Linked DNA regions of Arabidopsis thaliana. The protein of the gene in region 1 interacts with the protein of each later gene in a pairwise test. Each region holds a gene or a part of one and is shown on either strand. Other genes may lie near its edges.

Region 1 (7,485 bases):
GATTTGGCTAATACAAGTTTGAACGACTTATGAACGATTTATGAAGAGCACTGTCTATCACCGTCTTAATTTAGAGACTGCTTACTTAGTTCGGTGACGAGTAATGTGGATTCAATAAACATTCACAGTTATGAAATTAGAAAAGACATAAATAATTTTTGACCTATCATTTAACAAAGAACAAATCATAAGAACGATAATTAAACGGCTGTTAACTCTGTATTTGCAAGTTGAGATTGTGGCCTTAAACTATATGCTGGGTTCTTTTAGTTATCAAAAGTAAACCCGGTTATCCATCCCAACCGGTTAAGATATCGGTTTAAACTGAGAGTACCAATAGGAACAGTATATAGTGTTCCCTTTGTAAACAAAAATTGTGTACGAATAAGAACAGTATCCACATTCTATCAATCTTCACAGAAATGGATATTGTATACCAAAATCTCCAATTACCGAAGCAGTCCAGTTTAGCCAGTGTTACTGTTACTAAATTGAATCAGATTTGGAATTAGTCGAATAATGATGAAGACAAGACTTGTTTTTGAAAAGCCTTGAAGCCAATTGAGACAGTAATAACTTTATCCATTCATTCTTTCTTTTAGTTTATTATCTCTGATGAATCTGTTGTGAGTTAAAAATGAAAATCTGTGTCTGAACAGAGTATAATGCTAATTCAACCATGACAAGCAAATATTGAGGACCAAAGAACCATAGTCTTATATATGGTTTAACGCCATCTTTTGTTTTGGTTCCAATATGGATGAGTAGAAGAATCATGTTTCCTTGATGCTTGTTGTTGTTGTCCCCTCATGTTAAGCTGGTTCCTACTTGGGCTATTATCAGGACTCCATGATTCATATCCTGGATTGCTACTCATGTACTGGCTATTCCCTTGGTATGAAGTAACTTGTGAAGCCGATGCAATCTCGTTTTCTTGATGTGAGTAGTAACTGTTCTGACTCTGCTGACTCCTCCATGAACTCGATGTACCTGTTCCCATTTGTCCTACTGGTTCCCTAACTGCATACGAGGTTGTTGAGATTGGTTGTTGTTGTTGTTGTTGAAAATGTAAATTGTGATGAAGTTTTGGTTGCATATATTGTTGCTGTTCTCTTTCTGTGTGAGCCAATGTGATCGAGTTACTGTATGCTGATGGAGCATGTCGTGGGATTGATTGTTCATTTGTTTGATGCCATTGCATTGAACCAACACGAAGCTGTGTACCCGATCTAGCAACTGCAGTACCAACTTGGTTTTGCCTTGAAAATGGATTCCGAATCCCTTCTTGTCCCCATCCACTCTGTAAAATTGGAACAATACACTTAACTCAGTAAGAGAATAAGAAACAGACATTAACATCTTCTAATGGGGGCATTGTACTCATCAGGTTAGATCTAACAGCTGGAATTCATAATCCAGTTTGGTGTTAGCTAGAGCCTGTTGTAGTTCTTTCCTTTTTTCTATATGTCGTGAGATTCAATTTGGCAACATGATCTATTAATAGGGTTTTGGATATGTCCGAGGAATTTGGGGTGAATAGGTTTCAAGTAACGCACCATTCCAGGATTAGTTGATGGAGTGGGAGATGGAAGGGAAACTTCGACCCTTTCTTCAACCTGTTTATTTGAGCTACTGCTTGAGTTTGGTGCACCAGTCTTAATCACATCAAGCAGTTTTACCATATCTTGGCCGGCTAAATTACTGGGTTTTCCCGAAGTTAGTGCATAAACAAGATCTGGGTTCTTAAGTAACGCAGCTAATAACTCGAGATCAGGTTCAGGACTGCTTAGAGATGAAGAGGTTGTGGCAGCACCAGCAGCAATTCTTCGTTCATCAAGTGAATCCTGTGGTTCCGTTAAACTTTCTTCTGGTGGCTGTTGAGATGGAATTTCAGGGGTCAAACTGTCATCATAGTCCATTTCCCTATCCCATGGTTCTTTAGGGTTCAACGGTATAGTTTGAAGAGACTGATATGTTGTTTCTCTTTCTCGCCGGTTTCTGTTTCTCTGAACATCAGCCTCCTTGCTATTACCACCAGCGGCTACTCTCCAGAGTTCGTCAAGTTCCATTCCTGAAGAAAACTAGGCATTAGAATGAGTCCTAACTAACCACCAAAATAGAAGTGAACCAAAGAAGACCCTAAAGAGTCACATTCAGCTTATTCAATAAGTGGCCAACGAGATATAAATCCAACGAATGATATTACCTGGTGGTACATGCCAATCAATCTGTTTTCTCTTGCAATTCTTGAGAATAGTTTGTGAACTCATTTTCATCATAACTCCCACCTTACTAGAAATGCTTTTAGGAGGTGTTGAAGGTTTTTTAATTTCATCAGCTTGTACCGGGACAATTACGGCCGAAGGTCCATTGACGGGCTGAAGAGCCGAAGGTCCATTGACAGGCTGAACAGCCAAAGGTCCATTGACGGGCTGAACAGCTGAAGGTCCATTGACGGGCTGAATAGTTGAAAATCCATTGACGGGCTGAACAGTCGAGAGTACAGGTGTGTCTTCAGTCTTAGCTTCATTGTTCTGAATAGGTGGAGAATCCTTGGCTGAATGAAGAGCCAAGGGCTTCTCAGGAGCAACGATTTTCGAATCACCAATGGCACTTGGTAAAGGATCCTTTTTACTGTTCTTGCTCTGCATATAAAGGGCACGCATCTTTGCTTTCTGAATATCATCAGCAGACATTGGGCGGCTTCGACCTGAAGTTCCTATTCTTACTGTCTGCGGACTCTTTCCAGCAGCTTTTTGGCCTGGTTGTTCCACCATCTGTACTTTCCTGCGTTCTTTGTTATCTGCTGAAAGCTAAGGAAACTAACTTTGAAGTGAAGGATTATCCTGAGCTAGGAAAAGGACTATAACATGATGTGGAATATTTGGTTGCTCTCTTGACATAGCAGGTTTCACATGTAAAATACCGACTAAATAACAGAAGTAGCCAACAAGTTCAATACGTTAACTTATCCAATGCATTGAGAAAATGTAAATCAACTGGTGCTTTTTAATAAAAGAGCTCAAACGAAAGGATACACGATGGATTTGAACCAAGCATGTGTTTCTTGGTGGAATCATCTGCAGAAGTAAGCAACAGTTTTGGACCCTGTGACGATTCAATCCTCCTGTACCAGAAGATAACTAGTAATTATGAAACCACCTAACTATCAAAAGGGAACCTGTTCTAGATGGAATTTAACAATCAAACTGATACCTGACATTCTCTGACTTTCCATTTGAGAGACTAAGAATATCTTCCTGTTACGACACGAAAAACGGTTTTAAGGAACTGATGCACGTAATAGAAATAAATTCATGTTTTGCACCACTTACAGGATTGCTACTATCACCCATGATTTCAGCAATACTGCATAACAAGACAGAAGTCTATGAGTAAAATGTCACTAAACAACAAAATGAGAGGTAAAATAAGTATTATTCGACACATAAACCAAAACTTGCCTCTGTTTCAGAAGCAATTGACTCTGCGAATCAATTTGCGAACTGTTACGATTTTGTTTCTTCATAGCTTGGATTTTCGCAAATAACTTGGTCCACCTTGATAACAAACCTTTTGCCCTGTTTGATATGTCTGATCTTCAAATCAGATGATGAAATCGAATAAATCACAACAAGAACTTTGGCATTGATGAAAGCTACGCAGCATTTAGGTTTTTCAGAAATTACACCTGATATCCTATAGAAACGAAGTCCATTAACGCTTTGTAATATGGCAGACATATTTTCAGGAGATGCTTTGTGGAGAGGTAAATGACAAAGAACCTGCGTGTTAAATGTCAATTATCCATAATAAAACAATCTGCATATTTTTACAGCCATCCAGCTGCAAGTAAATTAATCTCGTACCTTCAGGATAAGAAGTAAGACACTTGTTTGCTCTTCACTAGCAGCTTGACTTAACCATGTTGTAAGTATCAAAACCCCTCCTTTTGATAAAAACCTGTGGCACATATAGAAAATGACTGTCAAGACGGGAATATAATAACAATAAAATAAAATAAGACAGTGGGTGAAAGAGAACCCCCAACTAGTACCAGATCAGCACAGAAGCATCTTGTATCTGCATGATCCACTCCATTAGTTTCACCTGGCCTGAAAATGTTTCCTCTTTACGCAGCAGAGAAAATATATTCTCAACAAAGTATTTGTCTGAATCGCTGATGTCAGGTGGAATATCTTCAGGTGGAATAAGTGCCACTGTTTCACCTTCACCCCAGCTTATAGAACATGCCTCCGGATGTATAGAGTTCAAGGGAACGGGTTCAACATGATTTGTGGCATTGTTATTTTCCGGAACACCATCATCTTGTAAAGCATGCGTATTGGACATAACTACTTTCTCCCTTGAAAGCCTCACCTGTTTCCTCACTCTTGTCTTTTGAGTAACAAAAAATTCTCGAACCTGCCATTGAAGAAAATAATAAAGAGACAAACCAAAGTCTCATGAGTACCTCAACATGACAGATCTAAACTGACATGGAATTCTAAAAGCATGGCAAAAAAGAGTACATATCATGTAGAAGAACAATACCTGGGCGACTGTGATGCCAAATAAAGCACTTATCTCCCGAGATTCCCTCTTACTAATAGCATCTTTAATTGCGAAAACTGCTTGTAGATACTTAACAGCCTTAGGATTCAACAAGTCTCTTGGCCGCTTTCCTGAAATATTTACAAATTCATCAGATACTAGGCATCGAGCACGTAAAAGTTGGGTATGCCTTTAATGAACCTAGAGAGCAACAATGAATTGAAACATTCTCTGTGATATACGTAATTATGCCAAAAGATCTCACGAATCCTAAGATGACTCACCAATTTTAATGGACAAAGCACCAGCAGCCTGAAACAACAAAAAAATTAAACAGATTAATGTCTTTAACAGAGATGATTACTTGATCAGAGAAATGACATATAAACAGTTGAAGCATCACCATTACAGTTCACAGAAGAAACGGAGAGGTCGAGCTATATGAATTTATACCAAAAACACCTCTAATTTTTGCTAGACTCAATACCCTTCAAAGAATTTATTCCAAAATCCGAATGACCTGTCCCTCTCAGCTTTGCCCATATCACCATACCCCAATAAAACACGAACTTTAGATACCAAAAAACATAGAAACAATAACCCACCATTTCTTGCGCAAGGGGATTAACGCCGGTAAGTTTGCATTGCGCAACGACGACATCTTGGAGCTGATCGATCTGGCTATGAAAAAGCACCTTCTGCGAATCCAATAGCTCCATTAAAGACTCCACCGAGCTCCCGATTTCTATCTCCTCCTTGAACGCGTCCATGGCCGCCGACGGAAAACTCGAAGACCAATACGCAAACCGAATTCAAAATGTGCATCAGGGAATTAAACTGAAACGTAGGACTCAGTGATTCGAATGTGTTGAAACGATAAATTCAATGAACATGGTTACCTAATTTCGGATTGTCAAAAAGCCGATTCGGGTTAGGGTTTGAGTAAGGAAGGCAAAATAAAGGGGCATAAAAGTAAATAAGTTACTTTACAAAGAAAAATTATAAAACGCAGCGTCTTGATGTAGATCTCTGAAAAGGTAAGAAATTAAATTTGTTTAATATTATACTAATATATTAGTTGACATAAAATAAAAATAATTAAATCTATAAGACCTGAAAATAATAGAATAGAAGAGAACGAGTTTGTTTCCTGAGATATCTTTTCACCGCCCTTCTCATAGGTCTCGTCTCTCTTTCTCTCTATTTTACGCTTTTTTCCTGAACGATTCTTAGGGTTTTGATTCTCTCTCTCTCTCGCTTCTTTTTCGATCGCAGCAGCTCTCGCCGATCCTGTGTAATCGGGAATCGGTAATCGTCAGGGTCTGTTTGGGGTACGGCGACGCGATTTTCTGATTATTAGGGTTTAAGATCTCGAGGTATCACTATTTCTGTCGGATTCTCGCTTGTTTTGTTCCATACGACAGTTGATTTTTTTATCATTCTGTTGATTGTTCGTCTTTCTAGGTTTTTATTTGAATTTTTGTGGGATCGAGATTGTTAGGGTTACGTCGGAGTCTCTGGATTGCGTTTCTACTGTGTAATTTCGTGTTTATCTCATGGATTGATTGTTTCTCGAGTATATTCTGATGCTTATGTCCTCGTTTGCGCACAATCTGATAGTTTGGGTTTGATTTGGGTGATAATACTCGTTTCGCATTCGATAATGTGGGTGTTAACGTGTTATTATAACCTCTGAAGAATGATAAATATTGTTGACTCTCTCGCTTCAGTCATTTCATTGTGTTGCTTAATACTGCTGTTCTAAATTTTGGTTTTCTCCTTGTTCTTTGGTTAACTTAGGTTGAGGAGAGCTTGAAAAGTTGTTTGTCAACATGGAGCGCAAGACTATTGACTTGGAGCAAGGATGGGACTATATGCAGACTGGAATTACTAAGCTGAAACGGATTCTGGAAGGATTGAATGAGCCAGCATTTGACTCTGAGCAATATATGATGCTTTATACGTAGGTTTTATACTTGTTTATTACCTTATATAGCGGTTTGGCTGTTTGTCCTGATACTTATGATGGGGAATTTATTTGATTCTCAGGACTATCTACAACATGTGCACCCAGAAACCTCCTCATGATTACTCACAGCAGCTTTATGACAAGTATCGGGAAGCATTTGAGGAATATATTAACTCAACAGTGAGTCTGATTGATATTTAGTTTCTTTCTTATAAACTTCTCGTTTTTACTACCTCTGAATTTTAAGATGCCACTTTTGTGCATGGTTTCATATGTCAAGAAGTCCTGTCCCCTCTTGGTTTTAAGTTGATTCAAACGGTTTTGAATGTTTGCTCTCTTGTTGTCTGTGGTTAGGTTTTGCCTGCGTTGAGGGAGAAGCATGATGAGTTTATGCTGCGGGAGCTATTTAAAAGATGGTCAAACCATAAAGTAATGGTCAGATGGCTATCCCGCTTCTTCTACTACCTTGACCGTTACTTCATTGCTCGGAGATCACTTCCACCACTGAATGAAGTTGGCCTGACATGCTTCCGTGACCTGGTATGGCATTCATTCCTGTGGCTTTATAGCTTTCAGTTGTATTGAAATATTTTTAACTTTTCCTTGATTCTGTTCGCTTCAGGTTTATAATGAGCTACATTCTAAGGTCAAACAAGCTGTAATAGCTCTTGTAAGTATGGCGTCAATATTGTTGTGCAGTTACATCCAACTCTGGCTTTTGCCTGATTCAAGGTCTAACATGACCTGTTCTTCTGTCAGGTTGATAAAGAACGGGAGGGCGAGCAGATTGATAGGGCCCTGCTGAAAAACGTATTAGATATCTATGTAGAGATTGGAATGGGGCAGATGGAGAGGTATGAAGAAGATTTTGAAAGCTTCATGCTTCAAGATACTTCTTCGTATTATTCTCGCAAGGCATCAAGCTGGATTCAGGAAGATTCTTGCCCTGATTACATGTTGAA
Region 2 (5,869 bases), on another chromosome or scaffold:
CTTTATCCACAAGGTATCACACTTTGAAATAACTAAAATAAAAAATATGAATCAAGAAAATCAATAAGCCGCTACATGTCACTTCCAAAATTATGAAATATGAGATTCGAATCTAAGAGGAGTCTTAAACTGTTAAACAGAGACGTGTTTACAGTCAAGAGAAATTTATAACATGGGACAAATTTTATTTTATTTTATTTAATAGCGTTACAAATTTACAATGATCATATTACATAAGGAGGATACAAAAGTAGAAGAAGAGCTAGTTTAAAAGTCCCAAGAGTCCAACACTGATTCATGACTCATCGTCTCTTCTATTTCTGCGCTTCCACTATACAAATTAGAACCATCGATTATTTTAACCTTTAGTTTTTCCAAATAATCTCTTGAGTTTAATTTAAAAAATAATATTTTCAGGACTATATGTATACCTAAACAGTGACAATGATGTTTCTAAGATTTAAAACACTTTATTACCGAAATATATCTCAAAATTTTACTATTTCAAAACGTTATGTTGCTATTTTATTTTTCACCACATTTTCGAAACATTAGCATACCGTTCAATCATTTGAACATTCCATTGTTAATCTATTATTATTATTACACTAGTCAAACTTACTTCAAATTTATTTATACAAAGGGGAATATATTTTATATAGTTAGTAAAAATCTCAATAATCATTAAAATAGATTTTCTTTGACATATTTCCAAAATTGTTAGATTGTTTGTTTGTTTTTACCTTCTGAAAAATGGTTACCTAATGTACGACGAGGTTTGCCGGGACATCGACGGTAACAATTCTGAAGGCACGTGATCGGAATTCTTCCTGTGGTGGCACAACCTAGAATGCAATCTTCATGGCATTGAGCTTTCGTCTCTCCATTGACATTTTCCATTGCTATAACCATTGTCACCACAAACACCATTATAATCATTGAATTCCATTTAGCACCCATATCTTTAACTTTTTTGTTGTTGCAAGTGTTTCATGTACTTAAGAAATAATGAATAGCTATCCTCTATTTATAATCTTTTCTAATAGTTATCTAATTCTTAGCTCTTATCGTCTCTTCTTCTTATTTGTTATAGGAATTGCTCTTCTTTTTTTTTCCTGGTCAAAGTTTCTTTGTAATAGAGACTAGTTACTTTTTTGGTTAATCTTCTTCTGTTTTTTTCTCTATTTATAATCTTTTCTAATAGTTATGTAATTCTTAGCTCTTATAGTCTCTTCTTCTTATCTGTTACATGGATTCCTTTTTTCTGGTCAAAGTTTCTTTGTAAGAGAGATTACTTACTTTGTTGGTTAATCTTCTTCTGTTTTCTCACAGTTTATTTTAAGTTAATTTGAGATTAAGTTAATTTGAGATTTCATTGGACAAAGAAAATTAACTCTTGAAAGAATAAAAAATTATGTCAGAAGTGGGGTTTGAACCCACACCCTCTTACGAGGACCAAAACTTGAGTCTAAGGCCTTAGAGCATCCACATTGGTCACTTATATGTAGATGTCTTTAAATATAAAACTATAAATAATAATAATAAAAAAATTATGAATGTTTTTAGTTTGAGATTTGTGTTTCTGTAGAGACACTTTAAACACAACAAAAGTGAAATGTCTTTAATTTTATTATTTATTTATACTAAAAACATCTATAAAAAGTTGTCTAATGAGGTTGCTCTTAGACCACTTGACCATCCTAACGGATAACATAACCAATACTAATAGTATCATTATATAACTTACTAAGCATTTTGGAAAAATATATAATTAAACAAGAGTTATGGGTTCTTTACGAAATATTACACAAGAAAGTACCTTTTCTTATAAATACAAGATAGTAACCATTAGATAAAGTAAAAATAAATAAAAAACAGAGAATCTGAAGATCGTAGAAGAAATCGAGAAAACGCTTTGTACCAATTAGAAACCCTAGCGAGCGGAGGAAGGAGACAAAGAACGAGACTTTTGAGAGATTGGAGATTTCAATTTTGAGATCAAATCTTGAAATCAACAAATAGGAGAAAGATTTAGTGATGGGTAAGAAGAAGAAGAGAGCTACAGAGAAGGTGTGGTGTTATTACTGCGATAGAGAGTTTGATGATGAGAAGATTCTTGTGCAGCATCAGAAAGCTAAGCACTTTAAGTGTCATGTCTGTCATAAGAAGCTTTCTACAGCTAGTGGCATGGTGATTCATGTTCTTCAGGTTCATAAAGAGAATGTTACAAAGTATGTGCCTTTTCTTTTTACCCTTTCCCTATGGCTCTTTTTGTTGTGTTAGGTTGATTTGGAATATTAGGGTTGTTGCCTCTATGATCTTTGTTCAAGTTCTGATTTTTTTTTTGCTCTTGTTGTGTGTGATTGTCGTTTGATTTCTGTTAGATTGCGCTAATTGTGACTGTTGTGTTGTGGTTTGAATCGGTTGATTGTGTATGTTTGCTGGAATTTGAATCGTTTTTTTGGATTATCTCTTGAATGGGTTTGGTTAATTTGTATATGTCTGGTCATAAACCCTAATTTCTGATTGCAATTTTTGTAAAGAAACAGTCTTTTGCTTTTGCTTTTGCTTGATAGGTTTTTCTTGGAATTTGTGGTACTGTTCAATGTGTTTGCCTGTTGAATTTGGAATTTGATTCCATGACACTACTAACTTTGAAATTATCTACAATTTTCACACCAGAGTTCCTAATGCTAAAGACGGTCGAGATTCAACTGATATTGAAATATATGGAATGCAAGGAATTCCACCCCATGTCTTGACTGCTCATTATGGAGAAGAAGGTATGCATTTGAGATAGTGAGAGTACTGTTTAGATTATGAGCAATTGATTTAGAGAAGTAAGGCGATAAATTTGTATGTCTCTTCATCAAGTGTTGTAGATCTATTGCATCTAGTGGTCATGAATTCGTTTTGATTTTGCATGCGGCTTTTTGCCTTATCAAAGTTATTATATATTATTGTTATGTTTGCTTGTTTCATATGGTACCTTTTGAACTGAAGTCATGTTTTCTGCAGAGGATGAGCCTCCAGCCAAAGTTGCAAAAGTTGAGATTCCTTCTGCCCCTCTTGGTGGTGTAGTTCCTAGACCATATGGAATGGTATATCCGCCTCAACAAGTACCTGGTGCTGTACCTGCACGACCAATGTATGTACTAATTATACTATACTCTCTCTATGGCCGTTACTTGTTGAATTCTTAGATGTTGTCTCTGTTTTTAAAAATCCGATCCATGCTAAATGATGGGGAACTTTTTTTCTTTTAGTTCTCTTGATGCAAAAGGTTCTTGGTTTCTTTAGTTTGTCTCTGTCCTAGAACTTTTCTACTTTTGTTCTTCTATAAGACCACTATAACACCCGTAGTAAACATTTTTTGAAATAGATCGTTATCTAAGATATTGTTGCACTTAACCAACTATGACCCATAAGGTTCTTAGTTTCCCTAGCTTGTTCTCGTGATTTTTCAGGATAGAACTTTGTCCTAGAACCATTCTTTTGCTCCTCTTCAAGACCACAATAACACCTGTAGTAAACAGTTTTTTGAAATAGTTCATGATCTTAGATATTGTAATATGTATGGCTATTGACCATGATAAAATATTTCGTGTTAGCAGGTATTATCCGGGTCCTCCTATGCGTCATCCTGCTCCTGTATGGCAAATGCCACCTCCTCGTCCGCAACAATGGTATCCTCAAAATCCAGCTCTTTCTGTACCTCCAGCTGCCCATTTAGGGTATCGACCACAACCACTTTTTCCTGTTCAAAATATGGGGATGACTCCAACTCCAACCTCAGCTCCTGCCATACAACCATCACCAGTCACTGGAGTAACTCCTCCTGGAATTCCTACATCATCACCTGCAATGCCAGTTCCTCAACCTCTGTTCCCTGTTGTGAATAACAGCATTCCTTCTCAAGCTCCACCATTTTCTGCTCCTCTGCCTGTTGGTGGGGCTCAGCAACCATCTCATGCAGATGCTTTAGGATCAGCAGATGCTTATCCGCCTAACAATTCTATTCCAGGTTCAATCCCAAGTTCGTAGAATCATTGACTTACATTTGGTTTAGCTGTTTTGTATCAAATTGTAATATCTTTTTCATGTTTTGTTGCCGTAGGTGGGACTAATGCTCATTCTTATGCCTCTGGCCCAAACACTAGCGGTCCTTCAATTGGTCCACCTCCTGTAATTGCAAACAAAGCTCCTAGCAATCAGCCTAATGAGGTCTATCTTGTATGGGATGATGAAGCGATGTCTATGGTTAGTTTATTCCTAATTTCTTATGCATCATGTTGGAATGGTTACAATTGGAAAAGTTTCGAGTAATGAACCATTTGGTTTTCCAATCTGACGCAATGTGTCTGTATCTGCAGGAGGAAAGAAGAATGTCCTTACCAAAATACAAAGTGCACGATGAAACCAGCCAGGTAAGTTCTGATTTACCCTTTTTAAAGTTAAGAAGAGTTTGCTTTTGCAAGTCTAACCCATTCGGTAGGCTTTATTTATACATTTCTGTTCCAGATCCTATTGTTTCTGTGCTAAGAGGTACCACCGTATTATTCAGTTTATAATTTCTTCCCTTAGAATATGATAAGAAGGACTTAGGCAAGAAACTTGAGCATTTTGAATCAATGTTCGAAAGGTATCATTTGTAGCTTGCAATAGTAGGTAGTGAGAAACATAGCGTTTGTATCTGTTTGTTTTTCATTATATTTCCTGTCTATTGTATTGTATTAAAAATGTGGTGATTGGTTCCACAAGATCATACTCTACAGGTTTGGTTTCAAACCCAGGTCAGCTCTTTTTATATTCTTAACTCTGCAAAGTTTGGTACCTTTGCACAATCTCACTGCCTTGGGGAACCAAAACAATACGCACTTAACTCTTTCAAAATAAAGCATCCAACTTCTTAACTCAACACCAAGTTTGTTTCTTTTGGTTTGCAGATGAACTCGATAAATGCAGCGATAGACAGACGAATCTCAGAGAGTAGGCTTGCTGGGCGGATGGCGTTTTAGAATTTGGCACCAAACCAAACCAGCGTCAAAGAAAAGGCGATATGGATGAAGGCTTTGTTACAACAACAAGTCTTCACTCACTTTTGTTCAGATACTGAATTTATGATCTGATTTTAAGTTATTAACTTTCCATCTGTTGTATTCTTTAGCCAGGTGAGTTAGTTTACCATTACATTGTTTAGGGATCTCAGAGATGTTTTTTCTCAGAAGTTTAGTCCTTTTTTTTTTTGGTCGTTGGAGACTTGGAGGAAGAACTTTGTCTCCTTTTCTTCTGAATTGATCAAAGTATTATATTATACAGATTCACCCAAAATGTTTGCACCATGTTGTTCAATATTTTGCCAAAACAAAATTGACTAATATTCCTTCCATTAACTGTATATTCAAACTCCAATTGATACGATTAGTATGAATTTTTGTTGTATTGCTACTTTGCTAGTAGTAATTATATCGAATACAAAGTTAGGGACTACGTTGGATTTGTCAAAAAGTGAGGGGCCTATCTGTAATATTGAGTTACTTTGTCACCACTTCCCCAAAACATCAAAACCTCTAAAACCCTCGGAAGCCTCTTCTGTTACATTTCGTTCAAATCTGTACTTCTCCGAGATCGCTACTTCGCCATTGTTACAAAAATGAAAGCTTTTAGATCTCTACGTATACTAATTTCCATCTCACGAACGACGACGAAGACAACACCTCGTAATCCCCATCAAGCACAAAACTTTCTCCGCCGATTTTACTCAGCGCAGCCGAATCTAGACGAACCCACTTCCATCAATGAAGACGGATCAAGCAGCGACTCTGTTTTCGATAGTAGTCAATACCCAATCGACGATTCCAATGTAGAT

The links. The genes of interacting proteins can lie anywhere in the genome.
Region 2: the proteins of LD (region 1) and SUF4 interact in binary tests that used the Arabidopsis thaliana proteins (3 or more experiments, as listed by UniProt).

The regions. Positions count from the first base shown.
Region 1 is NC_003075.7:1,122,929-1,130,413, forward strand, and holds LD (Homeodomain-like superfamily protein), read right to left. Parts: upstream 5,563-7,485; 5' UTR 5,325-5,562; coding exon 5,160-5,324; intron 4,867-5,159; coding exon 4,839-4,866; intron 4,686-4,838; coding exon 4,555-4,685; intron 4,426-4,554; coding exon 4,058-4,425; intron 3,964-4,057; coding exon 3,870-3,963; intron 3,786-3,869; coding exon 3,692-3,785; intron 3,595-3,691; coding exon 3,465-3,594; intron 3,370-3,464; coding exon 3,336-3,369; intron 3,261-3,335; coding exon 3,217-3,260; intron 3,128-3,216; coding exon 3,039-3,127; intron 2,804-3,038; coding exon 2,207-2,803; intron 2,072-2,206; coding exon 1,557-2,071; intron 1,301-1,556; coding exon 728-1,300; 3' UTR 547-727; downstream 1-546. Other genes in the region: CUL1 (cullin 1), read left to right, coding at 6,387-6,517, 6,604-6,703, 6,878-7,063, 7,146-7,193, 7,283-7,485. UniProt on the Arabidopsis thaliana protein: Seems to play a role in the regulation of flowering time in the autonomous flowering pathway by repressing FLOWERING LOCUS C expression.
Region 2 is NC_003070.9:11,039,762-11,045,630, reverse strand, and holds SUF4 (zinc finger (C2H2 type) family protein), read left to right. Parts: upstream 1-1,857; 5' UTR 1,858-2,037; coding exon 2,038-2,231; coding exon of another isoform or gene 2,232-2,235; intron 2,236-2,682; coding exon 2,683-2,783; intron 2,784-3,018; coding exon 3,019-3,148; intron 3,149-3,614; coding exon 3,615-4,024; intron 4,025-4,117; coding exon 4,118-4,260; intron 4,261-4,373; coding exon 4,374-4,571; 3' UTR 4,572-4,946; coding exon of another isoform or gene 4,947-5,018; 3' UTR 5,019-5,356; downstream 5,357-5,869. Other genes in the region: AT1G30972 (Plant thionin family protein), read right to left, coding at 721-960; AT1G30960 (GTP-binding family protein), read left to right, coding at 5,654-5,869. UniProt on the Arabidopsis thaliana protein: Sequence-specific DNA binding factor that recognizes the 5'-CCAAATTTTAAGTTT-3' sequence. Recruits the FRI-C complex to the FLC promoter. Required for FRI-mediated FLC activation, but has no effect on the expression of MAF1, MAF2, MAF3, MAF5, UFC and CO.